4 linked regions of the Drosophila melanogaster genome follow. The protein of the gene in region 4 interacts with the protein of the main gene of each other region in a pairwise test. Each region holds a gene or a part of one and is shown on either strand. Other genes may lie near its edges. The genes, in order: vir-1, CG15728, CG6664 and Nnf1a.

What was found.
Region 1: the proteins of Nnf1a (region 4) and vir-1 interact in a two-hybrid assay, tested with the Drosophila melanogaster proteins (one large-scale study listed by BioGRID).
Region 2: the proteins of Nnf1a (region 4) and CG15728 interact in a two-hybrid assay, tested with the Drosophila melanogaster proteins (one large-scale study listed by BioGRID).
Region 3: the proteins of Nnf1a (region 4) and CG6664 interact in a two-hybrid assay, tested with the Drosophila melanogaster proteins (one large-scale study listed by BioGRID).

The regions. Positions count from the first base shown.
Region 1 is NT_033779.5:12,420,066-12,425,876, forward strand, and holds the start of vir-1 (virus-induced RNA 1), read right to left. Parts: upstream 3,375-5,811; 5' UTR 3,258-3,374; intron 1,798-3,257; exon of another isoform or gene 1,765-1,797; 5' UTR 1,640-1,764; coding exon 1,576-1,639; intron 1-1,575. Other genes in the region: Fam92, read left to right, coding at 4,873-5,012, 5,064-5,223, 5,278-5,418, 5,474-5,811.
Region 2 is NC_004354.4:12,621,907-12,629,351, reverse strand, and holds CG15728 (uncharacterized protein), read right to left. Parts: upstream 5,061-7,445; 5' UTR 4,921-5,060; intron 2,260-4,920; exon of another isoform or gene 2,208-2,259; intron 2,137-2,207; 5' UTR 2,120-2,136; coding exon 1,988-2,119; intron 1,932-1,987; coding exon 1,740-1,931; intron 1,676-1,739; coding exon 1,103-1,675; 3' UTR 907-1,102; downstream 1-906. Other genes in the region: Aven (apoptosis and caspase activation inhibitor), read left to right, coding at 1-797.
Region 3 is NT_037436.4:17,011,968-17,018,745, forward strand, and holds CG6664 (uncharacterized protein), read right to left. Parts: upstream 4,214-6,778; 5' UTR 3,776-4,213; exon of another isoform or gene 3,706-3,775; intron 3,300-3,705; exon of another isoform or gene 3,292-3,299; 5' UTR 3,290-3,291; coding exon 3,174-3,289; intron 3,111-3,173; coding exon 3,020-3,110; intron 2,938-3,019; coding exon 2,026-2,937; intron 1,963-2,025; coding exon 1,483-1,962; 3' UTR 919-1,482; downstream 1-918. Other genes in the region: CG7728 (uncharacterized protein), read left to right, coding at 4,672-6,457, 6,518-6,778.
Region 4 is NT_033778.4:20,584,947-20,589,137, forward strand, and holds Nnf1a (Nnf1a), read right to left. Parts: upstream 2,293-4,191; 5' UTR 2,228-2,292; coding exon 2,127-2,227; intron 2,071-2,126; coding exon 1,858-2,070; intron 1,784-1,857; coding exon 1,669-1,783; intron 1,464-1,668; coding exon 1,308-1,463; 3' UTR 1,276-1,307; downstream 1-1,275.

The sequences.
Region 1 (5,811 bases), on a different chromosome or scaffold from region 4:
TTCATAATTGTTTTGAGTTTTATTACTCCACACATAGTTCCACGTACGAGCAGCAGAAATTCGAAAAAGGAAAAAAAAAAGTGATTTATGTGAACATGCAATTGCAATTTGTTCTGGGGCAGAGAAAGACATTCCCTGGAAAAAGTTCTTAAAAGCGAATTATGGCCACAATTAACCCAATTCTTTTGGCCATGGGACACTGACATGAAGCGATCTCATAAAAAACCAAATTAAGAAAAATAAGAAAACAAAACAAGCGAAGAAAAGTGCTCAAGAATTTCACTTGCAATCAGCCAGAGAAATTGGGATGACTTGAGTGTATAATATGACAGTTCATTCAACCGATTCCGAGTTTGTTGAAGAATGTAACAATATTAATTTAAATTTGAAATATATAATCCAGAATAGATTAGCCTGCAGATAAATCCAGTATATCCACAATTATCGTGATTTAATTGGTTACGTAAATTATTTTAATTGGATATGATTCTATTCTCAGCATGTTCAGATCGCAAATCATTAATAATTAAATAGAGAAAACAAATGTTTAAACAGTACTAATCTGACTTATATGCACAGTAGTTAGAGTAGCTACTATGTGTATTTTGAAATATGTAATAAAAAACATTGTCTCATCAATTTACGAAATATTTCATTGCAATTTCAAGCACTCATTGCTAAGATGATTCTCAAGCAAGATTTGCCGAAAAATTGTGATTCACGAGTGTTGCATAAAATTTGTATATTCCTGGCAAATGATTTGGACAGCAACGAATTTGACAACTTCAAGTGGCTGTGGCAGCTGCCAACCCGCTGCCACGCCCACTCCCACCATTCCGCCCATCTGTGGGGGTATCTGCGATTCGCTGGCAGCTTCTTCAGCAATTTATGCATTCAAGTGGCAGCCAAAGGCAGCGAACAGCAAACGCTGATGATGACAATAAAGGACGCTGGATCTGCGATGCTGCGCCGAGCATTCCTGATATTTTGCCATTTGTAGTTACTTGTGTTGTATCTGTAAGATGCATTTGGCTGATTGTCAAGTGCCACGCTTTGTTATCAGCATGCTGACATCATTATCCGGCAAAGGCAGCGACTTTAAACTTTAATCTGCTGCAGAGTGGAATTAAAACATTTTTTCATATCCAACAGATTGTATTTACTAATAATTACGTATTATATGCATAATAATTTATTTATATTGCTCCAAGTCACAATTACATCGAGGTAATCTTTAAGATTCTACCAGAATATTCCAGATCAAGAAGGTATAAGAGGAACGTACTACGTAGAAGAGTGCAAATCAGAATTCCCGGTGCTTATCAATTTTCTTTGTTTTTAAAGTCAAAAGGTTGACTGTGTTTTTTAATAACTAATTATGTGCACATAAAAATGAGAAAGTAAAGAGAAGGAAAACAAATATGTATGTTGCATATGTGTACAAATTGCATATTAGTTAGTTCCGTTATACGTATTACTTAGGGCAAGTTAACATTTAGTTTTCAAGTATTAATCATTTAAATGTTAATTTATGAAGTGCATCATGATTGGATTGCTTTTAAGCCTTTCACTTACCTGGCAATGTGAAAACGCCGCTAAGGGCTAGCACGGTCATCAGCAAACCGAACAAGAGCTTCATTTTTGTTTGGTTTTTTTTTTTTCACAAGCTTATAATTTGTTTAATTTGTATAGTTTATTTAGGGCTGAAAGCTTTGATGCGTTGATGTGGACCGGCAACCGGATTCGATTCTGTTCAGTTTTGTTCTGTGCGGAAAGACAAACAATCGTCAAATGCGCTTAAATGATTTGAGGAAGCGGCAAATAAACGGCGGCCGGCTGAGTGAGTGAGCGAGTGAGAAACCGAGTGAGTGACTAGCTGACCGCTCTCTTGCTCTCCCTCTCACTCAATTAGCCGCTGGGCTTATAAATATTCCAAATGGCAGGCGGCAAGTGTTGTGGGAAGAGCGCTACACTGTGCCCGTCAACTGGGTACAATATTTGGGGACTCCACTGTGTACAGAATGCAGCGTATTAGTAATGTTCTTAGGCACATTTAAGTTAACTTTTATTTTCGTTACACCTTTTTGTTTCCGTTATAGCTTACTGGTTCATTAACTATTGTATCTACTACTATAAAAAATATAATATAATATAACTTTATCTTTATAATTATATATATATAAAAGCAGTTCTAAAAGGGCATTTGCTACTAATATTTTAAAATTTCGATTAAAAGGGTGTTTGAAAGTCGCCGTTGCTCATTGAACCTTTTGTAAATTTAGTTGTGTTTTCAATTTACTTAATCAGTTTTTGTCTATGCTTCGTTAGCTGCACGCGGGCTTCTCTATTCCACTATATTTGTATTTCAGACTTTAAATGTGTCCCTGTCACAGTTGCTGAATGTTTCAGTCGCCCCATTCGTATTTCAATTCCACTTCGATTGCATTGTATGGAACTATGTCTATTCAACGGCTGCTCGAATCACCTGTTAAATGCGCTTGGTGTTTAGTTCAAGGTTGTTGTTTCTGTAAACAAAAGCATCATTTGCTTATTTCCCTAATGGGCAGCTATTGAGAATTTTCTTCCAAGGAAATGAAAACGGAGCTAAAGACTATTCTCAGTAATTAAATGGTTATGATAGAGTGCTTCTTTTTAATTCCATCGATAAAGTAGTCACGCCTTGATTGAGCCGGGTTTAATCACGATTTTACTAACGAATATGCCAAAGATCGGCAATTTATTGGAAATCTTTAGTTAATCCGATTATGAATGATCTTTTTGACCCGAGAGAACTTACGATATAACACCCAATTACAGTTCTGATAAATATAAAAAGCCGTAAAGAATTTGTATAATTATACACTGATTTAAATCTAGAATGTATTATAATCTCAAAATGAACTGGAATTTTTGCACATCAGAAAATTATTTAAATATCTTGCCCGACAGTAAATTTTTCAAGGTCTTCAAAATTAGCAACTATAAACTTTAAATAGCATTTTTAATGTCTGATAGTTTTAGAAAGCTATTGTTTATGTTGGGCTCAGCATAAAAGTGAGCACAAGTAAATATTTCGCAAACAGCTGCGTGAAGTAAATTAGGCATCCAAATTATTGCCCAGACAGCCTAAACAAGCTGCAAATTGTTTGTTTGTAAACATTTTTGTCAGCGCCGAAGCGGAAATTGTTCACGCACACAATTTCATTCACATACACATGCCGACAACCGCGAATTTGCATAAATTTTATTATTGTTACCGGTGTCATACAGTTATTTCTGTGGATCGCTTGAATCACTCGATTTCGAAAGATCGGAGAAGAACGCGCGATCTTCAACGTGCGTTGGCTTTAATGAAACGTTTCGGACTAAACGGTTGCGTACGATTTTGGCTTCATTTATACCAGCTCACGTCGTTGGCACTCAAAAAAAAACAAAGAATTGAGAAGAGAGACCGGGAAAGGGAGGAATGCGCAGAGAAGAATACGAGAGCGAAGAAGGGTCTTCCGAGTGCTCCAAATGTGCATTCAACAATGTTTTAATTAAAAAAAAAAAAGAAAAATAACTAAAGAACTTTCAATTTTATATTTTTACAACAGATCCACTACCAAAGATGCCCCATCCTGTTTACCCAAAAAGTAGCAGAAATTTTACAAAAAGAATATTCATTGACACGTCAGTGGGAGCAAAAATGAATGTCGCCAGCGGAACGCGAATGTCCTCCAGTGCAGTCCCTTGACCAAAACCGTTGGAGTTCGAGGTGTATGTATAAAAATCAGAAATTCAAAGCGGATGGCCGACAGCGCCGAGAAAGAGGCGGGGATATAGTTAGCGACAAGGAACGCGCGCCAAGCTACGTTCTTGGATTGACAATGAAGTCCACCTGCCCCCTTTTACCTGAACTTGCCTCTTGGGAGCCGTGTTGCTTTATGGTTTTCGACCAGATTGAAATCGCGATCGGCGCAGCTACAGCTGTTAAAATCTCCTGCAGGCTGCTCTTCATGCTCTACAACTTGTAATTCTTGTCGTGGTCCCACGAACCGGATTCTGTTTTAACTACACTTTCGTTGGTTTTATTCGAACTGCTATTTTCGTTTTACTAAATACAGGTTTGATTGCACTATGCCTTTAAGTGGCAGAGGAGCATTTAAAATAAATTACCATTTTCGGTTAATCGTTGACACAACATTCTTGCGGTCGAGTCAATAAATTCCCCAAAAAACAAGATTTGGTTGTCAAGGCTTCGAAGTGAGAAGAATTTGAGTCAGCTTAGTCCTACATATATTTAAGTGAGTAAAGCTTGGCTTTTAGGACCAACGATATTTTAAAATATCAGATTGACTTGTTTTTAAATAAACTATTTACAATGCTATGATCTTCAGGTAAATATCGTAGTATATTTTCTATTTTTTTATATATACTAATTATATATATTTTTCTTTATCATTTGCAGTCTCTTAATTAGTCATAAATCTTTCGAATTTAAATTTAGACACCGGATGACAGACAGAAACACTCACAGATTATAACGAAACGTGCTCTTGACCTTGACACTGTTGGAAAAAAATGAAGTACCCATATTCAGATATTTATTTTAGGATTGAATATTTTTAGAATGTTTTAAATTTCCTTGATAAACTTTATTCTTGCGCCATCTATGTACTTGCAGAAGACGCTGATACTAGCGCCACCTGGCAGCAGTAGGTTCTTAACATTTCTGTTAATTTTACAGAGCTGGAAATATGCTGGCTGTTCGAACGAGAGTTGCCAGATGAATTTAGACGTTGCCTTGGTAACGGTTTTCACTTGATTTTATTGTCGAAATAAAATAAATAAAGAAGGAAAACAAATATAAGGGACTAAAATAAAATAATAATGTTTCGTCGTGGAAAACTATCCTTTCTAAACACCAAAGATGACCGTGTTAAAATAATAAACGAGCGCATAAACATAACAGAAAGGCATCTAATGGAGATGTGCTCTTCGTTTGCTTTGGTAACGCGGAAAATGGCCAAGTGAGTTTGGTAAATAAATAAATCTGAATGAATAATCATAAGACCTTGCAGATATCGGGACTCCTTTGATGAGTTGGCCAAGAGTGTGAAGAGCTACGCCGACGACGAGGAAATCAACGAGAGTCTCTGTCAGGGACTGAAGAGCTTCACCAACGCGGTTACCATAATGGGTGATTACATGGACATCAATGTACACCGATTGGAACACAAGGTGAATTATCCTTTTTTAAATCTGCATCTTATATCATATTATTGACTTATGTAGATTGTCAACGAGTTGGCGCAATTCGAGCAGCTTTGCAAGTCCACAAGGGACAATCTTCGACTGGCTGTCATAGCGCGGGATAAGGAGGTACTACGTCAGCGCCAGATGCTTGAGCTCAAGTCAAAGTTTTCTGCGAACAATGTGGGTATTAAAACGAACAATTTACTTCTTATATAATTCCCAAAACTTACCGTAGAGTGCCGCCGATTCGGAGCTGTTTAAGGCCAAAATGGAGGTGCAGCGCACAAACAAGGAGATAGACGACATTATTGGCAACTTCGAGCAGCGGAAGTTGCGCGACTTAAAGCAGATAATCAGCGATTTTATACTGATCGCCATGAAACAGCACACCAAGGCATTGGAGATACTCAGCGCAAGCTACTATGATATTGGAACCATTGATGAGCGCGACGATTTCATTGAGTTTCAGAAACTCATGAAGACCAAAGAAGAGCTGGCTTCCAGGAAAACTGCACTCAAAAAGGGACTGCGCTCCCAGTCGATGGATAGCTTGGAGCACGAGCACCTGGTCAG
Region 2 (7,445 bases), on a different chromosome or scaffold from region 4:
CCACATCGTCGGGATCGCCACCACCCACCTCCCGTCGCAGCATGGTTGATGTGGCGGACTCGAGCGATGAGCCAAGGTTGGCCAGGCGTGGCAATTGGCAGTCCAGTGGAGCAGGCCGCTCATCGTTGGCACCGCAACGGAACAGGGACATGCTGGACACCCTGCCCAGCGACACCGACGATGTGGAGCAATTGGGCCTGGATGGTGCACCCATCGATGAGAATGCCCGTGCCCAGTTACGAGCTGGCGATTTCCAGCAGCTGGCCCAGTTTCCCAGCCTCGGTGGCGGCCACTTCACCTTTGGGTCAGAGCGCGAATGGGCCAACGTGGCCGAGGGCCAGACCAAGCTACACACCAAGGCTGCCAGTGCTTACTTCACCCTGAACCTCACCCGCCTAAATGTGGGTCTGCAAACGATTCCGTTATACAAGCGTATGGATTATCCGGCGTCTTTGTTCACCCGCGCTCAGATTGCCGCCCAAGAGAAGGCCGCCGAACGGGCTGAGGCAGTTTACCAGCAGTGCATTCTGAAGGACGCCAATGGGGGCGCCAAGTCGCGAGCTCCCTCTGCTAAGTCCAATAAGGACGTTGCCCCTGCAGCGGCGGAAAAACCAATTGCTGCCTCAGCAGCTGAACCTGATGAACTTGACGAGCTATTGGCCATGACCGATACGCAACTGGATATAGGCTCTGGAACCATTACGATGCCAATGCCTATGGTGCAGCCGGCCACACCCTCATCGGCAGCAAGCAAAAACGGTGTGGAGGAATGGCTGGATTCCGTTTTGGATGAATAGTTACATAGTTCAGGAGGACTATTACCAGAGCTTTTTACGCTTACACGAAATATTCAAATCACTAAGTGCTTGCATTTTTAGAAGTAGCATCATTAAAATTGCAAAATCTAGAGTTTTCCTCGTAACTTTATAGTTAAAGCTAGAGCCTTTTTATTGTGTATAATAAAATCGTTGATTGCATATATATACGATGCGATTGTTTCTTGAAATAAGTTTCAAAGGTTAGGTTAAGTTATTGAAGATTTCAATTCTCTTCTCATCAAAGTATCTGAATTTATAACAGATTTCTTTGTTTCCGTTCGCTATTACTTACATTGTGGTCCACTTTTGCCTTGGTAACACTTAACCAAATGGCCATGCAAGAGCTGCATAAGCTCACATATGGACTCCAAAAGCACCAGGCGCTCATGCAGATGCCCCAAATCGTTGTTCTCCACCATCAGCGGACGCAGCTCATCAACGATCGCGATTAGCCAGCGAACTAATATCGAACAATCGTCCCTGGCCAGTTTCATATAATCCTCCGGCACATCGGTCTCCTGGCACAGTTGCTGGCCCTGGGCATTGAATGGTCCGATCAGCAGGATGCTGGATATCAAACGGACCACCAGGTGCAGGGAATGCAAATAGGATATTACATAAATATGCGGCTTCACCACGGCAACGACGAGCAGCAGTGTGTTAGCCGGACGCAATCGGTGCAAGTCCAGGCCCAAGTCCGACATATGATCCAACATGGCCCAGAGCAGACAGTTAGCCACAACGCTGGCCATTGTGCACAGCGGACTGGCCACGCGGCAGCCGAGGATCAGGTTGAGCATTGTGCTCGAACTCTGGATATCCAAGAGACCCAGGACATGGACGCATACCTGGTGGATCTGTTGGGCAAAGAAAGGGAAGGATCAAAAAATATATATTTCAAACATATATATGCTTACTCACATGGCTTTCCTCGGAGCATGCCATATAATTGAAGCACTTTTGCAGGAAAAGAGTTCTTTTCACCTGGGTGGCCGACGTGTCCTCATGATGGAGTAGATAAACCATCAAACCGCATACATACACCGCAGCCAGTTTATCTGCTCCGAATTGGATCCCCTCCTGGTTGAGCAGTTCATCAAAACCAGATATAATCTAACGGAACATGTGAATAAATTAGATAATGTGATTATGATATGAATATGGATCACCTCCAGAATATTGCCGGTGGCATAAATAAAGTAGCATTGTTCCCGAATCGCCGATCGACTCATAGTCTGACGCAGCTCTTCCAAACTGAATCCCTGGGGTCGCACCATGTGGCTCATGTTGTATTCTGCCATTTTATCTGAGGAAAAAGCTGGAAAAAGGGAGTTATGCATTACTTTTGAACAGGGAAAAGGCGCCTTCAAGGATTTGCTGCTGCTTCACCTTCTCCTCCTCCTTCTACAAATTAGTGACTGAAAGATATGATGTGTGCAAATAGCCAACGCTATTTTAATGAGCTCCACAACATTTTGACATGTTTTTCAAACACACTTGGCTGCCATCTTGGCCAAGCCGAGTACAGTGAAATCAGCAAGTGGGTACTTTTAATTGAAAAGTCTAGGAATTAACTATGAAGCTTTTGATTTGAATTCATGAACCTTGAACCTATGTACATCTTCCATGATTTAAAATTAATTTTTTGTAATAATATATTAAAATATTATAATTATATAGTTATGTTCATTTTTAGACAAAATACACTTTTGTGTTGAACTTCTAGTTGAATCGCATAAAATTGAAGGACTTAGAGGAGTCGCTGCTATCGGACGCTTACTGTAGTTATGATTTTTCCTGCCTGTGTGTGTGCCCGCCTTTGTTTGTGTGTATTTGTGCTTGTCCTTGCACTGCTTTCGAAAAGGCTGGCAAAATGCAAATGCACGCGCGATGTGCGCATTTTAGCATAAAAGTCACCTGGCCTCCGTTTCCGACTCCCACTTTTCCACCTGCCACGCCCATCGCCGCTTCAAGTTTCTTGCACACTTGGCGAATATCTGCTCATTATGCATTCATATTTCATATTTCGCAATTACTTGCTTTCACACACACACACACGCACGCAAACGAACTGGCGGTAAAAAGCGCAAGAGGTGCAAGCAAGATGGCCATAACAGCAGGAAACCGTTAAGTTTCTGTGTGTGTGTGTGTGTTTGTGCGTCCTTTGCTTGGTCTTTTCTTTCTGCTCTTCTGCTTTTTTATCGCCCCCTTTATTTTTTTGGGGCATTTTTTGCACAGATTCCTATTGAAATTTCCATATTCACATTTTAATTATGCGTCGGCATGAAAAGATTAACAACTTTTTTGCAATCTCTCTGTGTGTGTGTGTGTGTGTGTTATGCTCTCCTTTTTGTTTTTAATTATGCACATGTATTTGTTGATCAAATTTAAATGGCAAAGGGGTAGGCAACATATAACCCTCTCTTTCTGAACTGCTTGCAAACATAACCTCAATTTAGCTGCCACTGCTTGCGAAGCGATTGTATGCTAATCAACTGGGAACATCTATAGCATAATATGATCTATTATATCAGCGTCCAGCTAAAAATCTACGTCAAGTGTAAAAACCCAAGAATCCCCCTCTATTAAACGCAACAAAAGTGCTCAATTAGCGAGGGTTGTTCAGCAAGTTGAACGGGAAACGCAGACCAGGCCAATTACAGTCAAACATCCGTAAGTGGAAAAGATGCTTACATTTTTATTTTACTACAAGATTGAAAAGATGTTTACATTTTCCATTTGAGTATTTTTGCTCATCATAAGAAAAATTTTACTGTAGTTATTTATCTTACTTAAAAAAAAAAATGACAAGACTGGTATTATTATTTATGGAACCATCATTTGGAGGTTCAACTGTGCTAATAGATACTAACAATCATATCCGGTTCCCGTCGGATGGCGATGATAATAATAATCAAGATGGTGATGACAAGTGGCAAGTAGCTACCCTTTAATTTTTGAGGGTGGACCGAACTGATGAGCCGCTTGTGTGCGCTGTTTGTTGTAACCAATCTGTGCATTTTACGCCTAATTTAAGGCAAATTGTCCACCCCACTTGTCTCAACACTTTTGCAACCGAAAACCCTCCCCCATCCAACTAACTTTTTCATTTTTCGGTCTTCGAGGCCGCGGGGCCTGACAAAAGCCAACAGATTTTCATGTCATTATTTACTGATTTGTGGCATTTGAAAGGGAATCGGTTTTCGGGCTTAGGATTTGCGTTCTGTAACCACCCAGCGAACTTTTTGTTTACTAATGAAGTTGTTGTTTACACAATTGGAAAGTATGATGTATGTATACAAATGATAGCCACAGTGCAAGTGGAATCCAAACCGTTCCACCCACCAATTATCACGAAATGTCATCTGAGAATTAGCCACTTTTGCAAGACGCGACATAAGAAATCGAATAGACCCTTGCAAAGAAAATAAGTCTAATATTTCTGTCGGCCCTGATGATACTAAGCGAATTTCTTTCGGTAAGGTAAACATATTGATTTTCTATTAATTATATGCGTTGTGTAACTAGAAACAGTTTTAAAGAATTTGCAAGATGGGGGTAATGAAGAAAAAGTGCCCAAGTAATAAAGAATTTCATGTTTTACAGAGTTTCCTGTATGTATGTATATGTAAGTGCTGTGGCCAACTTTAACCTTTATTTAAACAGCTTAGGACTATTTTTGACCTTAAGATCAATATGCTCTAATAACTATATCATTAGCAATAAAAAAAAGATATACATAAATTTCCAAATATATAGATATAGATAGTTCTAGGAGCTTAGGAGCGTGAAAGAGAGTGATGACCTGGAAATTGCACCAAAGAAAAACTCAAAAAAGAAAGCTTTGGGATCTTTTTGATCAGTGCCAGAAGTTCAAGCGAATCCTTGAGATCAATATGCTCCTGGTGGGCACAAGCGAGAATGCTTTGAGATTCACTATATCATTAGCAATCAAACGAAAAGATACAAAAATTCTAAAATATCTAGATGCAGTTCGAGGAGCTCAGGAGTCTCATAAAGTTCATCCCCATGGATGGGGATCTCAAAGTTTATATACAAAAGGGGCAGGAATCGTAATGAATGTAATTAAAACTGGACATACCTGTACGTTTTGTATGAAATGTTTAGCTTGGCGGAAGAATACTTCACTTGTACAATGAAATTACTTCTCACTTCCTCGTCAATTATTAGCAAATTATCAAGGAGCTCACTAATATTTCAATGGGTATCTTTTTTATTCCGCTGACCACTATTCGCTTTTGCAACAAATTGCAACTGATCGATGGAAAGCCATAGTCAGTGGCTTTCCCTTAGCCATGGACTCTTAGCCAGAGGCAACCTGTATGGCTCAGTCGGGGTTCGAGGCTGAGACTGTGAGACGATTCGATTCGATTCGATCCGATTCGATTCAATCCACAGGTTCGATGGCCGCACAATGGGACACAATGCGGCAATTAGGCATAAAGATGCCAGATTTGAAATAAGCAAGTGTGGCACGGCCCGCGGCACAAACACAATTTCGGACGATTTTCCAAGCGGATAATGACAAACATTTTTAATCACAAAAACGAGACGAGAAACCACCACCGCCAATTGCAGTGGACGGGGGAAAACACAAATTTTCACACAATATGGCAAACATCTCGCAGCCATCCTCCAACCGGAAGTCAAGTGTGTCGAGTCCTTTTGCCCTGCCCATCCATGATGACATAATCGCCCCTCAACACAATCATTATGTCGAGAATTGCTGTTGCGGTTTCTCCGAACTTCACTTCTATTTTTTTTCCTTTATTTTTATATACATGCATATATATATATTTTTGTTTCTGCCCCGCGGATGGGCCACAGCAGGCTGGAATTTAAATTGAAATTGGTATATAATGGCAGGGAGTAACTGACAGTTCCTCCCCTGTGAGTAAAGTGAGTACATTCATGGCCAAAGTCAAGTGCCTTCTGTGGTAACTTTATTATTTTACAATACTTATGCGGCCCAAAACAATCATTACTTTAACAAGTCCAATTTGTTTAGATCTCAAGAATATTTATGTTGTATTTCTGACACCTTGCTATTTATTTACTTATTTATATATATATATATAATATAATTTTATGTTACGTGGGCTGCTTACCATTTTAAATGTATGAAGTAACAGAGGCAACAAATGTAAGATGGAAAGATGGAATTTGGAATTTGGAAATATAATTTAGATTTAGATTTGCTAATAGTTTTGGCTAGTCTTGAAGTTCTCGCGCCTCTTTAGTCGGCCAAACCCAAATTCATAATCACAGGCAAAAGTGCGCAGAAAAGTATGCTACACTTTTGGCACTAGCATTTTCTGTTGTTTTTTTTTCAAAGCTGCAAATTGTACGAACTCTTTAGTTTCGTAGTTTTCAGCCTGAATGCGAGCAAAAGCCGAAAAACTTTTCCCCACTCTCCCGGCTTTATTCCTTTTTTTTTTTAGTTGCAAAGTTCTCCAACGCCGAGAGCTTAATGCAATTAATAACTCATTAAATAAATACAAATCAAATTGAATGATGGCCAGCTCAAAGGAGAAGGGCTGGTGGAGCAGGAGGTGCCTTTGTGCTCAAAGGATGGCTGCGTAAAATGTACCAATTAAAAATGCCATTCAAATCTCAATGGCTGCGCAAATGAACCGCATGAATGTGAGAATTTGCGGTATCAAAAAAAAAAAAAAAAAACGCGAAGGAAACCGGTGAAAGAATCATCCATCATCTATCTGTATCTGCAAGTGGCTGGCATGATGGGGGTTAGCAGATGCATTTTATTCATTAGATTACATTCACATTTCATAGACGATTTCATGGCAACGTTAACTTGCTTGCCATCCCATTCGCCTTTGCCTTTCATTCGCATTTCAGCCATTTTTCCCGCATTTTTTCGCATTGCCCGCCTCGCTTCTTTGGCTTTTCCGTTTTGTTTCCGGTGGCTCCCATCAAGTATCTTTTTAATTAGCGTTCTGTGCCGCTCTGCACCACTTGAAAACTACTACCCGTTCCACGTCGTCTGCCCCTATATCATCATGCCATATCCTCGTTGGGTTGGCTTGGGTTGGGTTGGCGTTAGCTGGTGTCCTATGGTATGGCATACACTATGGCATGGTTATACTATATCCATCTAGACCTCTCTCTCGCTCGTTAACTCACTCACCGCAGATTCAATTTGTGGCTAAACATTTCTCCTCCTTTTTGTGTAGCGAGCTAAATGGGCATGAAAATATAACTGTAGCTACAGACGATCCTCGATGGAAAGAACTGAATAAGCAAAATAATTCTTATATATCTACGCTAGTTAATTTTTTTTTTTTAATATTTTTTCATAGTATTTGTCTGCCCATATGATGGTACAGTGTGGAAGCTACACTCATTTCGAGACAGAACTAGTTGCGAATTATAAGAGATCTTCACACTCAGTTATTGAAATAAGTCATCTGCAAAATATATGCATACGCTCTTGTTGTTGTTTGTTGCATTCTCCTTCATATATCACATTGCATGATTGTTGCATGCTCTATGTTGTATATCTGTTTCTTATCGAAATGTCCTTAGATGTAGGTTTCTTTTCAGTTTGTGCTAGGGAATCCCTACTGTATATGACGGTGCTATCGC
Region 3 (6,778 bases), on a different chromosome or scaffold from region 4:
ATCTATCTGATCTCTTCCTGTACACAAACACACACATACGCACTTGCAGTGGAATTTATTTGATTGAGCAAAAATAATATATGGCTATTTTTGTGTTATTTTCGCGAATCGGCTGCGGAAGCGACACAGGTTCTTTACCGTTCCACATCGAAATGAGAACCGAATATCGCTGGCGTCCGCTTTAAAAAGTTTGCAAGAGACGCGTCGCAGTCGTTAAATGTGTGTGAGTGAAAGAGAGGGAGAGCGGCAGCAGCGTTTAAAGAGCACCATCTGTGTTTGTTTGTTTGAGTGTGTGTAAATGGTTTTCTGTCGTTGCTACCAATGCGAGCTTCTTTTGGCCAATACACACTTTTTTGTTGTCATTTATCATTGACTTCCCACTTCCTGCCCACCTATTTCACCGTCTTTCTCTCGGTTCTCAGATCAAAGTCAAGTCACTTATTTTAATTGAACACTTTGCGGCTTTGTTTGCTCTCGCTCGAGGTGTTACACTCCGCTTTTTGGCCTGGCCCAAAGGTTAGTCTTTGGTCTTAACGCTTCGCGCTGACTGTTTGGCCTTTATTTACAATCACAAACACAAACAACACAAGAGCATTTTGCAACGCGAAGTTAGCTGCAGCTGCGCGCCAGTGTGTGCACGCCAAGTGGCAGAAGTATGAAGGCAGTTTTAGGGGATACTTTAAGTGTTGCCCCACCATTTGTCGTGCATTTAACGGAAATTCGAAAATTCTTGTTCTTGTGGTTCGTCAAAAGAAAAAAATGTTATTTCTGAAAACATATTTTAAAAAAACCTATCAGATGATGTTTACAATTCATATATTGTAGTGTCTACAGTTGTACTTTCTACAATTTTGAAAACCTTGCACCTCGAATTTAAACAAAATTTAATTTAAAAAAATTCTGGACGAATTTTTATTTAATTTTAAATTGTTGAACTTTATTTTTGTTGGCTTACATAAACATACTTCAAAATTTTTTAGGCCCACATGCGAAGGAATTGTGGGAAAATGGTTTCGACATGAATAGAATTCACCCTTTTTATAAATTCATACGATCTGGTTAGCGTGTGCTGTCCATCCTCATTCTCATCCTCTATATCCTCCATATCTCATTATTAGCTGTGTTTTACTTAACTTTAACTGGAACCGAGCGAAATTAGAAAAACATTCAAATCTTAAACATTAGCGCTAAATATTCGTTCGCCTAGGAATTCCGTTATTGAAAGGTTTTAAGAGATTTTGATCAAATAGAACATACATATACATATTAACCATATATAAATGTGGCGACTTTGAGTCGCCCTGGAGAAGCTTACGATAGTTACTTTCTCATCTTTTGTTTCTGTGTTTTCTTATGTTTTTAGGATCGTTAAACTGGTTGCTTGCATGCGTGCGTGTTTATGAATATAGTGTGTTTTCGTGTGAAAGTGTGTGAATAAGTCATGATTTTTCTGTATCCCTGTGCGAGAGCTACTGCATCCTCCTAGTCCTTGCAGGTGGACGTGTCCATTGGACTGGCTGGCTGGATAAAGGCCGTGGCCGCCGAGCTGGGCGGATTGGTTGGCGTAAACGCCGACAGTGAGGAGTTGCTGCTGCTGTTAACAAGATTGCCGCTGGACGAGTTGTTCAGGCTGATGTTCATCAAATTGGACGACGACGACGAAGCGCTGGAGTGGCTAGTGAGCTGGGCCAGCAGACCTCCACCTCCACCGCCGGCCAAGAAGGTGGCACTGCCGCCAGCCGAATTTGACGAGCCAAGGCTTAGGCGTTCGCCTCCCAGATTCGAGAGAAAGCCGCCAGCGGCATTCCCAGCTGATACGGACGCGGACGATGAGGAGCTGCCGGTTCCCAAAATGCCCAGCAGTGGGTTGGTTGAGGTCAGCACGTTCGGTGCGGAAGTGTTCAGGCCCAGCATGGGCGTTGGCAGTGCTGGCTTTATGAAGCGTTCGCTGGCACGACGATTCTGAAACGAAGAATTTTTAATTTTACAAATCTGGAAAGCAACATTTCACAATATCGTACTCACCACTAGCTGGCCGCAGGCATAGCAGCGGTTTTGCACCGCCGTGCCCGGACTTAGAGGTCGGCTACTCGAGGGACTGTGGGAGACGGGACTGCTGATGGTGCGTTGACGTTGGGCGCTCACCGCTGAAGCTGCGGCGGCGGCTGCTGCCGTCGCTACAGCGAACGAACCGCCTCCCATCAGGTTCTCGTTGTAGAAGCGTTCCTCGTCCATCTCCAGCGAGGATTCCGATTCGGAGAGGTGCCGGCATAGGGCTTCGCGGCGCTCCACCTCCTGCTTTAGCTTGCGCTGAAGGCGAGCGTTTTCCTCGCGAATCGACTTCTCTTCCTGCGCATACTGCTGTGTTTTGATAGTGGCTTCCTTCTGAGCGCTCGCCAGGTCGGAGCGATAGCGAAGCACTTCGGAGCGCAGAATCTGGATATGAGCACTCAAACTGGTGGCCGTATCGCCACCATTGGCATGGGCGTTGTTTGTGATGTCTCGCGGCGTAGTCGGATCGGAAACCGGCTGATCCAGCTTGATTTGCAGCGAACGCTTCTCGGTCTCCAGCTTGTCCATGCGCTTCCACAGCTTGTTTACAAGAGCTTCCTGTTCCTGCTCAAGCGTGTTCTCCAACTCGACCATTTCGCGGCGCAGCTGCTCGAGATTGGTCTGCTTGTTGTCCGTCTCCGCCTGGAGCTTCTCAATCTTGCGCATAAGCTTGTTGACGAGGCACTCCTGCTCCTGCTCAAGTGTCTGCTCCAGCTTGCACTTCTCCTGACGCAGCTGGTCGAGCTTCCGGGAGAGATCGTTGGTCAGACACTCCTCCTCGCGCTCGTAGTGGTGCGCCAGAGTCTCCTTCTCCTTTTTGAGGGCCTGAATCTTTTTTAGCAGCGTGTTTGAGATGTATTCTTCCTCCTGCTCGGCTTTGGCTTGCTGTGAAAGTAAACAAAGGTAAATTGAGGCAACTTTTGTGAAACTCAATTTCAATTTGATATAACATAAAAGTAGTACTAACAATGATGACTGAGGCTTGCTTGAGGCAGCGATTCTCCTCTTGCACCACTTTGCACTTGGTCTTGAAGGTATCCAGTTCGGCTTTCAGCACCCTAGAAGCGTAGAGTCATATTATTTGTGGTAAAAATGCATTTTAAAAATAGTGTCTGACTTACTTGTTCTGCTGGGTGAGCGATTCGATCCTCTTCTGGAGTTGCTCCCGGGAAACTGGGCTTGGTGGCAGCATGGTGCCACCGTCCAGCGAACTTTCGGATTCACAGGGACTTTCCATGCCTGCAAAACTAAAGGTAAATGGCCCAGTGCCATTACGTTTTTTGAGCATATACATATATGTATGACGAGAAATAATGTATGCCAGTCGCTTTTTAAGCACATATATATTATACATATGTGCATGAGTACATATATATGTGGCGACTGGCTGTTCTTTATTCTTGAATTCGTCTGCGCCCCGTGAGGAACAAAGAATAAAGAAATCGGTCGGTGGTGGTGTTTGGTTTTGGCCCTGATCCGATGCAAAAGTTTAACCTTCAGCTGTGATTTTCTGTGCATCTGGCTTGATGCAATTTTTCGGAAATCGATAGAAGGGCAAGGTCGGCGAAGGAAGGGTTTGCACAGGCTGGCAGGCCATCGCCATCGCCACCACCACCACCCACAGCCCACCACTGCCAGTGACTTCCAACTCACATGTGGGATTACGCCTCCCCCTTTCAACCGGCTGAAAATGTCCGATTTTCCAGATTCTATCTTTGGTTACCTGGCTTTTGTGCGCTGTTTCGCCTTAAAAGACTTTTGCCTTCCGCCGCACTGCTCCTCCCCCCTCTTGAACACTCCTTCGCCGACTCTGTTTCACCAGGGCTCTGGTTGCCGTTCTTGCGTTTCACCTGCGCAGGTGAAAGGATGCAGCTGCGAACGGAGTAGAGTTGAACCTTAGGCGTCTGCTTAGGGCCTGCAGATCTGAGTGCGGTACATTTTGCCCGATCCGATCGAATAAAATTAAAGTCAAATTGCGAAAAATCCACAGTGCAGAAGTGTGACCGTATATGTGGCGAAATACCGAAAAAGCGCTCACAGCGAAACGCCGCGAGGTAGTGATGACACTTGAGGAAATACCAGTAGAGGTGGAAAACAATACAATTATGCTATTCAAAAATTGTATTACAATTTTATCAAAATATATCAGAAAATAGACAGATACGTTAATTTTGTAAGTTTCTTTCTTGTCGTTGTAAGGTGGAAGTCGAAATGTGTATTATTTGACATTTTACTTAAAAACGGTCATTACTAAATAAATTATTTCTTAATTTGTGTTTTAAACGTTTCTGATTTGTATACCATTTTTCATGAGTTTGACGATTGCGATTTTGGTTACGCTTATACGTGTTACAAACAAAGTGCTTATGATTCCTAGTAGCGTATAACATATGCTGAAATAAATAATACGTTCAAAACCATTACTTTACTCAATAGATTTCGTAGGCCGCAACAAACAAAATATAGTCAGTCTATCGTACTATTTATTTACGATATGTATTCAGGGCTGGATGAAACCAATTGATTTGGGGCTGTTTCATAATCTGGCAACACTGGCTCCACGTGCAGCGCGCAAACAGCGGATAATTTAATAATTTAATATATTTAAAGGCTGTAACAATGGCCGACGATGCCGGCCAGGACAAGCGAAAGCAGCACCGCGCCCGCCAGTCCGGCGTGAAGGCGGACAAGAAAAAGCTGAAGGCCAAGAAGGACTCCAACCAGAAGGAGCCCGAGTTGACCGCCAGGCAGAGGAATCCCAAGGCGTTCGCCATCAACTCGGCGCAGCGAGCAGAGAGGAACTTCCGGCGCAAGGAGGACCTTACGGCCAAGAAGCAGCATATTCCGGTTGTCGATCAAACTCCGAACGTACCGCCACCCGTACTGATTGCCGTGGTGGGACCACCCAAAGTGGGAAAGACAACGCTGATCAAGGACCTAATTAAAAGCTTTACGCGGACGAATGTCACCGATATAAAGGGTCCCATTACTATTGTGACCTCCAAGAAGCGCCGGATTACCCTGCTGGAGTGCAACAACGATGTGAACTCCATGATCGATGTGGCCAAATGCGCCGATCTGGTGCTGCTGCTCTGCGACGCAAGCTACGGCTTCGAAATGGAGATCTTTGAGTTCCTGAACATCTGCCAGGTGCACGGCATGCCCAAGATAATGGGCGTACTTACCCACCTGGACATGATCAAGAACCCCAAGCAGCTGAGGAAACGAAAGAAGGAACTGAAGCACCGCTTTTGGACGGAAGTCTACGATGGCGCCAAGCTATTCTACCTTTCTGGACTTCTTCACGGCGAGTACCTCCGGAACGAAGTCAAAAACCTGGGACGATTTATCTCTGTGATGAAGTTTCGCCCGCTGCAGTGGCGAGGTGCACATAGTTATCTGCTGGTAGACCGCATCGAGGATGTGACAAACACAGATCGCGTGCGCCGAGATCCTAAGTGCGATCGCGAGGTAGTACTCTATGGCTATGTCCGAGGAGTTCCTCTCAAGCAAGAACACATGGTGCACATAGCTGGCCTGGGGGATGCCCGCATCGACGAGTTAAACGTCATTCCCGATCCTTGCCCCCTGCCTGGGACGGAAAAGAAGCGAAGTTTGCTGGAGAAAGAGCGATTACTGTATGCACCCATGTCCGGAGTCGGTGGCATTGTTTACGACAAGGATGCTGTCTACATTGAGCTACAGGGATCGCACTCGCACAAGGAACAGGAGCAGACCGCTGAGGCTGCCGAGCAGGCGGAGCTGGTGAACAAGCTGATCGATAAGAAGGCCACCATTGATGAACAGATGGAACAGCAGGAGTTCCGTCTATTCTCAGATGCCAAGCCCATCAAGTCCAAGGACTTCCGCAATGATCAAGACGACGAAGAGGAGGATGAAGAGGCGGAAAGTAGTGAGAATGAGGATGACGATGGAGAGGACTCTGGTCTGGATGCCGCTGACAGTGAGGAGGAGCAGCAGGATGAGTTCGATGCGGACGATTGGCGTGGGGAGAACAGTGAGGAGGAGGAGGATGCTGAGGAAGACGCTTCTTCTGGCGATGAGGAATATCAAAGCCTGGGAAATGTGAAAACATCCAACGAATCCGATTCGGACGATGAGGAGGCTCGCGTCCTGGCCAGCAACATGAGCTGGAAAACTAATCTGGCCCAGAAGGCCCGCGATGCTTTTCTCCAACGTCACTCGGAGTCGAAAAACCTGATGCGCCTTGTCTACGGTGTGTATAATCAGAGTGAACATAGTCGTCAGGAGGCAGAAGCAGAAGACGACTCAGAAGAAGAACTAGGTGGTCTGTTCCGGGTGGCTGCTAAAAAACAAAGCCTGAAGCAATCAGACCAGGACATTAGGGATAAAGACGAGCGGTGTTTCTTCGAGTATCAGGGTGGTAAGTTAAATATATTTTTCTAAGAATTGTCAATCTATTTACACTTGTTTTAAATTTAAGATGCCACTCGGGATTGGCTGGCGGAAGACAACAAGGAACTTATCAAGAACTGCTTCGTTACCGGCAAATGGAAGGCCAGCGAGGATGCTGAAAATCTACTAAAGATGGACGACATGAGTGACGCAGAAAGCGAAGTGTACGGAGACTTTGAGGATTTAGAGACGGGCGAGCAGCACAGCGGTAAACCCAAAGCAGAAGATGGTGGAGAATCGGAAGAAGAGAATTCCAAGCCTGAGGATTCTTCAGCACCCAAGCGCAAAC
Region 4 (4,191 bases):
AAAATAATTAAAATTGGGTTTTCTAATTTTTTAAAACACTCAAATATAAGCATAACAGACTTTTTCCTATTTTGAGATTATGGCAAATTTGCTTAAATATCACATATTTGTCTTTTTTTTTTTGATTCCGTACACTTAGGTGTTAGTTTTCTAAAAATATATTAAGTATGTTACACAGATTTTGTAAAACACCTAAAATATGCAAAACGGACCTAAATAATTTTAGAAAAAACCAAGTTGAGTGGCGATTTCTAATGCAAAACCAAAACTTTCCAAACTACAACTTTAATAGGACGTTAAAATATGTATTAATAGGTGTAGTTGGGAAAAGCCTGAAACTGCAGTGATAGTTTTGATATCCTACGCAGGTAACTTTCTCGAAGTACTTAGTACCAGAAACGTGTACTTTACATAAACATAAAAAATAACACTTTGCTGATACCAGGCACTTGGGAAAATCATGTCTAGATTTGTCAACATTTTAAATGGCTTACCAAGAGATGTAAGCTCCTTCTCCGTCGACGGTCAAATCGAAAAGAACGGACTGCTGAATTCCATTGAACTCGAAATCTTTGTGACAGTGCTAGAAGATGACCTTTGAAATCAAGTGGGAATGGGCCGCACTCAAACTCACATATGCAATAAGTGTGTTTCTTTGTGTGTGCGAAAGCGCTCAATTTCAATAATACACACATCACATAACCTCACTTTAAAGAGTCAATGTCCTTATTGCCTTAAAATATAACTGAAAATCTGTATAATGAGTGCAGTCTCACAAGGGAAATTAAAACGAATCTTTTAAAAAACATCTTTAAATGTATATTATTAGTTACTTTTTGAGGAAGATCTAGCAAAAATTCGGTTCTTTTTTACACTAATACCATTCCTTTGATTTATACTACGCAATCAAGTATGTATGTATGGGAGTGTGTAAGCACACAGCGATTCTAAGAAATCACTCAAAAAACACATGCATACATACATAAGTTTACACATGTTTAGCTAAAAACTTCGTACTATTTATCGTATTCTTTATAGAGATAACTTGAAATGTATGTATATACATTCAATTTTAAAAGATTTTTTGTCGCCAATACAAACAATTGCTCGTTAATATTATGAGCTTATTGCAATGATACGAATTTAAATAAATTGTGAATGTCAATGACAAATGCATGTGTACATACATATGTATGTACATTAATGAATATGCAGATTAGTTTGTATGAATTTCCATTTTAAGACCCCCCACTCAAATCATTAAGCTCATAGCGTAGTATTTTATTTATTTATTGCATTTAAGTTTGTCAGAAGTCGTTCAATGCTTCGCCTAGTTTAATAAGTTCTGTCTTAACTTTCTCGTACTGCGACAATTGCTGCTCCATTTGGACAGTCAATTTCAGGCGCTTGTCATGGACATGTTGGAGTCGCTCGCGATTGGCATTGCTCTTGGCCATAGCAATCTGTAATTGAAATATAAACAAATGTTAGTTATACTGATAGAATAACAAACCTAGATATGTACATATGTATATGCAAATGATAAACTATAGAAATGAAATTATTAAACTAAAAATCTTCTCGAAGGTTCTTTAACTTTAGGGATCTTTTGGTACACTCAAAACAGTGCAGTAATAGTACAAAGATTAACTAATATCCAAATCGCACCTCAAGTTCTTTTGCCTGAGAGGCCAGTTGCTGCTCCATGAATTCCACGCTGAAGTCCAAAAATCGCATGCGCAGCGGCCGAGTGAGTTTATCGGGTGCTGCAGTGTTCACGTTCCTATAGATTACAATAGAGTAGAGTAGAGTTAGCAATGCAATCGAATCGTATTATGTTTTATGCTGCACATGTACCATTTCTTGCCCTCGTAGGCAGCGAAATGTTCCTTGAGCATTTCCAAAGTTTGCAACTTATTTGGCACATCGTTGCTGGCGAAAAAGCATCGGTTCATTTCGAGCACAACCTTGGTCATCAGACTGCGAGTGCGATCTACGATGCTTTCGGTGTCCAGAGCGGATTGCTCGTGCTCCTGGTAAATGGCATCCCACGCTTGCAGATCTGCGCAGCTAGATATTAACGATTTTTAATATTCGTTATCATGTTAACTATGCCTGCTGCTTACCTCAAGTCGGCAAAGATTTGTTTAATGGCTTCCTCGTAGGCCTGTTTCACCTTTGGTCCCACACCCTCGTGGCGTTTAAATGCGGCTTCCGAATCCTCCATTGAAATAATTTGTTAGTAAATTCAAATTGTAAACAAAACAAAACAATGCCACATTGGTGTGACCAGTTGCAAGTTTCTGCAAAACACCAGGCCGATAGAAATTATAGAGTATGGTGACAACCCTGTTATTGGTTTTTTTTTGAGGTATTTCCACTAGCTCTTATTACTCATAAGTCCCTTGTAACATAAGTGATGTTGAAAATATAAATATATTTCATTCAGCGGTATGGTGAGAATATGTGCCTTTTACATTACAATGTCAAACAAAATGAATAAATACCACCGAACAGTATTTTTAAGAATAAGTGTTAAACCACCGTTTTCAACCATCATATATCGATAGTCCAGGTATCGATGACAGGGTGATACGCCATTTTCCAATTCCTCTCTAACTTTTGTGCATTTTAACTCAGCTCTAGTGTGTTTGTGCTATACATATTTTGAATAATATTTTACCAGCCAGTGTTTAGTGGCGGACAAAATCGTGTTGAATACCAATTGAAAGTTAAGTGATTAAGTTCGGTGGCATCAAAGTCTTCGTAGCTGAAGGAAAACAAAGGCATCCCGATAGGTGAGTTTTTCTTCTACAGTTTTTTTTTATCTTTTGCCTGGGGAAACGCGAATGAAAAGCGAATTTGCGAGGCAAATAAACCAGGCTAAAAGCAATGTGTGTGTGTGTTGTGTGGTCTTGTGTTTTCCTGAATACATTTCTAAGAAAAAGATTCGCCAATACATGCCGATTTTTTATAGCAATATAGTGTGATTTTTAACTACACCCCCAAAATCGTTCTTTTGGCTTCGGCGCTTGAGTTTTACAGTTTTTCTTCCTTTCATTTTATTACAACCACCAGGGCACACAGAAATATTCCTAGCTCTCTCTCGCTCTGCCGCCCTGTTCTCTCTGCCTCTCTCGCTTGCTCGCACGCATGCCGGCTTTTACTTAAAGTACAGAGTCGCATAGTTGTTGTTTTTATAATTGGCCCATCGCTTTAGTCGCTTGTTTTGTTTTTCACATTTGCTGTTTTTTCTTTTCTTTTCGTTTCGTTGCTTCCCTTTTTCTTTTATCTCCACGCGGTTACACCGGTGCATAAATTTCATTATAATTCGCTGAGATAAAATCAAAACAAAATAGTTTCGTTGTTCCGAAAGCAAAACTCCCACGCTACAAGACGAGTTCAACGCTCGTTGGCTTTTTACAAATAAGGAAAAGGCCTAACCTATATTTTATTCATAGTTTTTAGCATCAATCGATGAGGTACGTAGAAAACGGAGAGGCAGAGGAAATGGCGAAGAGAGGCTAATGAGAGAGAAAAATACAAATGGAAGCTAACTGTTGTTGTTTCGCTTGTTGGTTGGGTGCAGCTTATTACCACCTACTTGCCTCCCCCCTCTCTTCATTGCTCCTCTTCTTTTCTCTTTGCCCCCCTCCCCCTCATTAACCCATTGGCATTTGCAGCTTTTTAACAACAGCTCTCTTCTTCTTCCGTCTGCAAATCTTCTCAGCAATTCTGCAACTTTTGCTTTTCGTTCTTTGGCGATTGTGACGAATCTCCTTTGTCTCTGTTTAGATTTCCAGTTTTGCGAAAAAATTCGCTTTTATTTGCCTTTTTTGGCCGAGGTATTTTTCGTTTGTTTCTAGCGTTTATTTCGAGTGAAGCAATTCCAAAGATATTTCGCGGCTATTTGCACGCGTTCGTTGACATTGAACTGAATTCTCACGTAAATGTGTTGAGTTCCAAATTGGTCAGCAAACAAATTGTAAATAGTATTGCTTAAAAATTTAAATATATATTATATTAACAAATCAATAGGCATGACTTGTTGAAAATCTCAGTTGTTTGCTCAATTCTTTTTACAAAATTTCTATGACACCAAATTTGACTTGTAAGATATTTCAGAGACACACCTAAATAGTTCGTTTTGTTTATTCTCTTGGTATTTGTTGCTCCATGGAACTAAAGAGT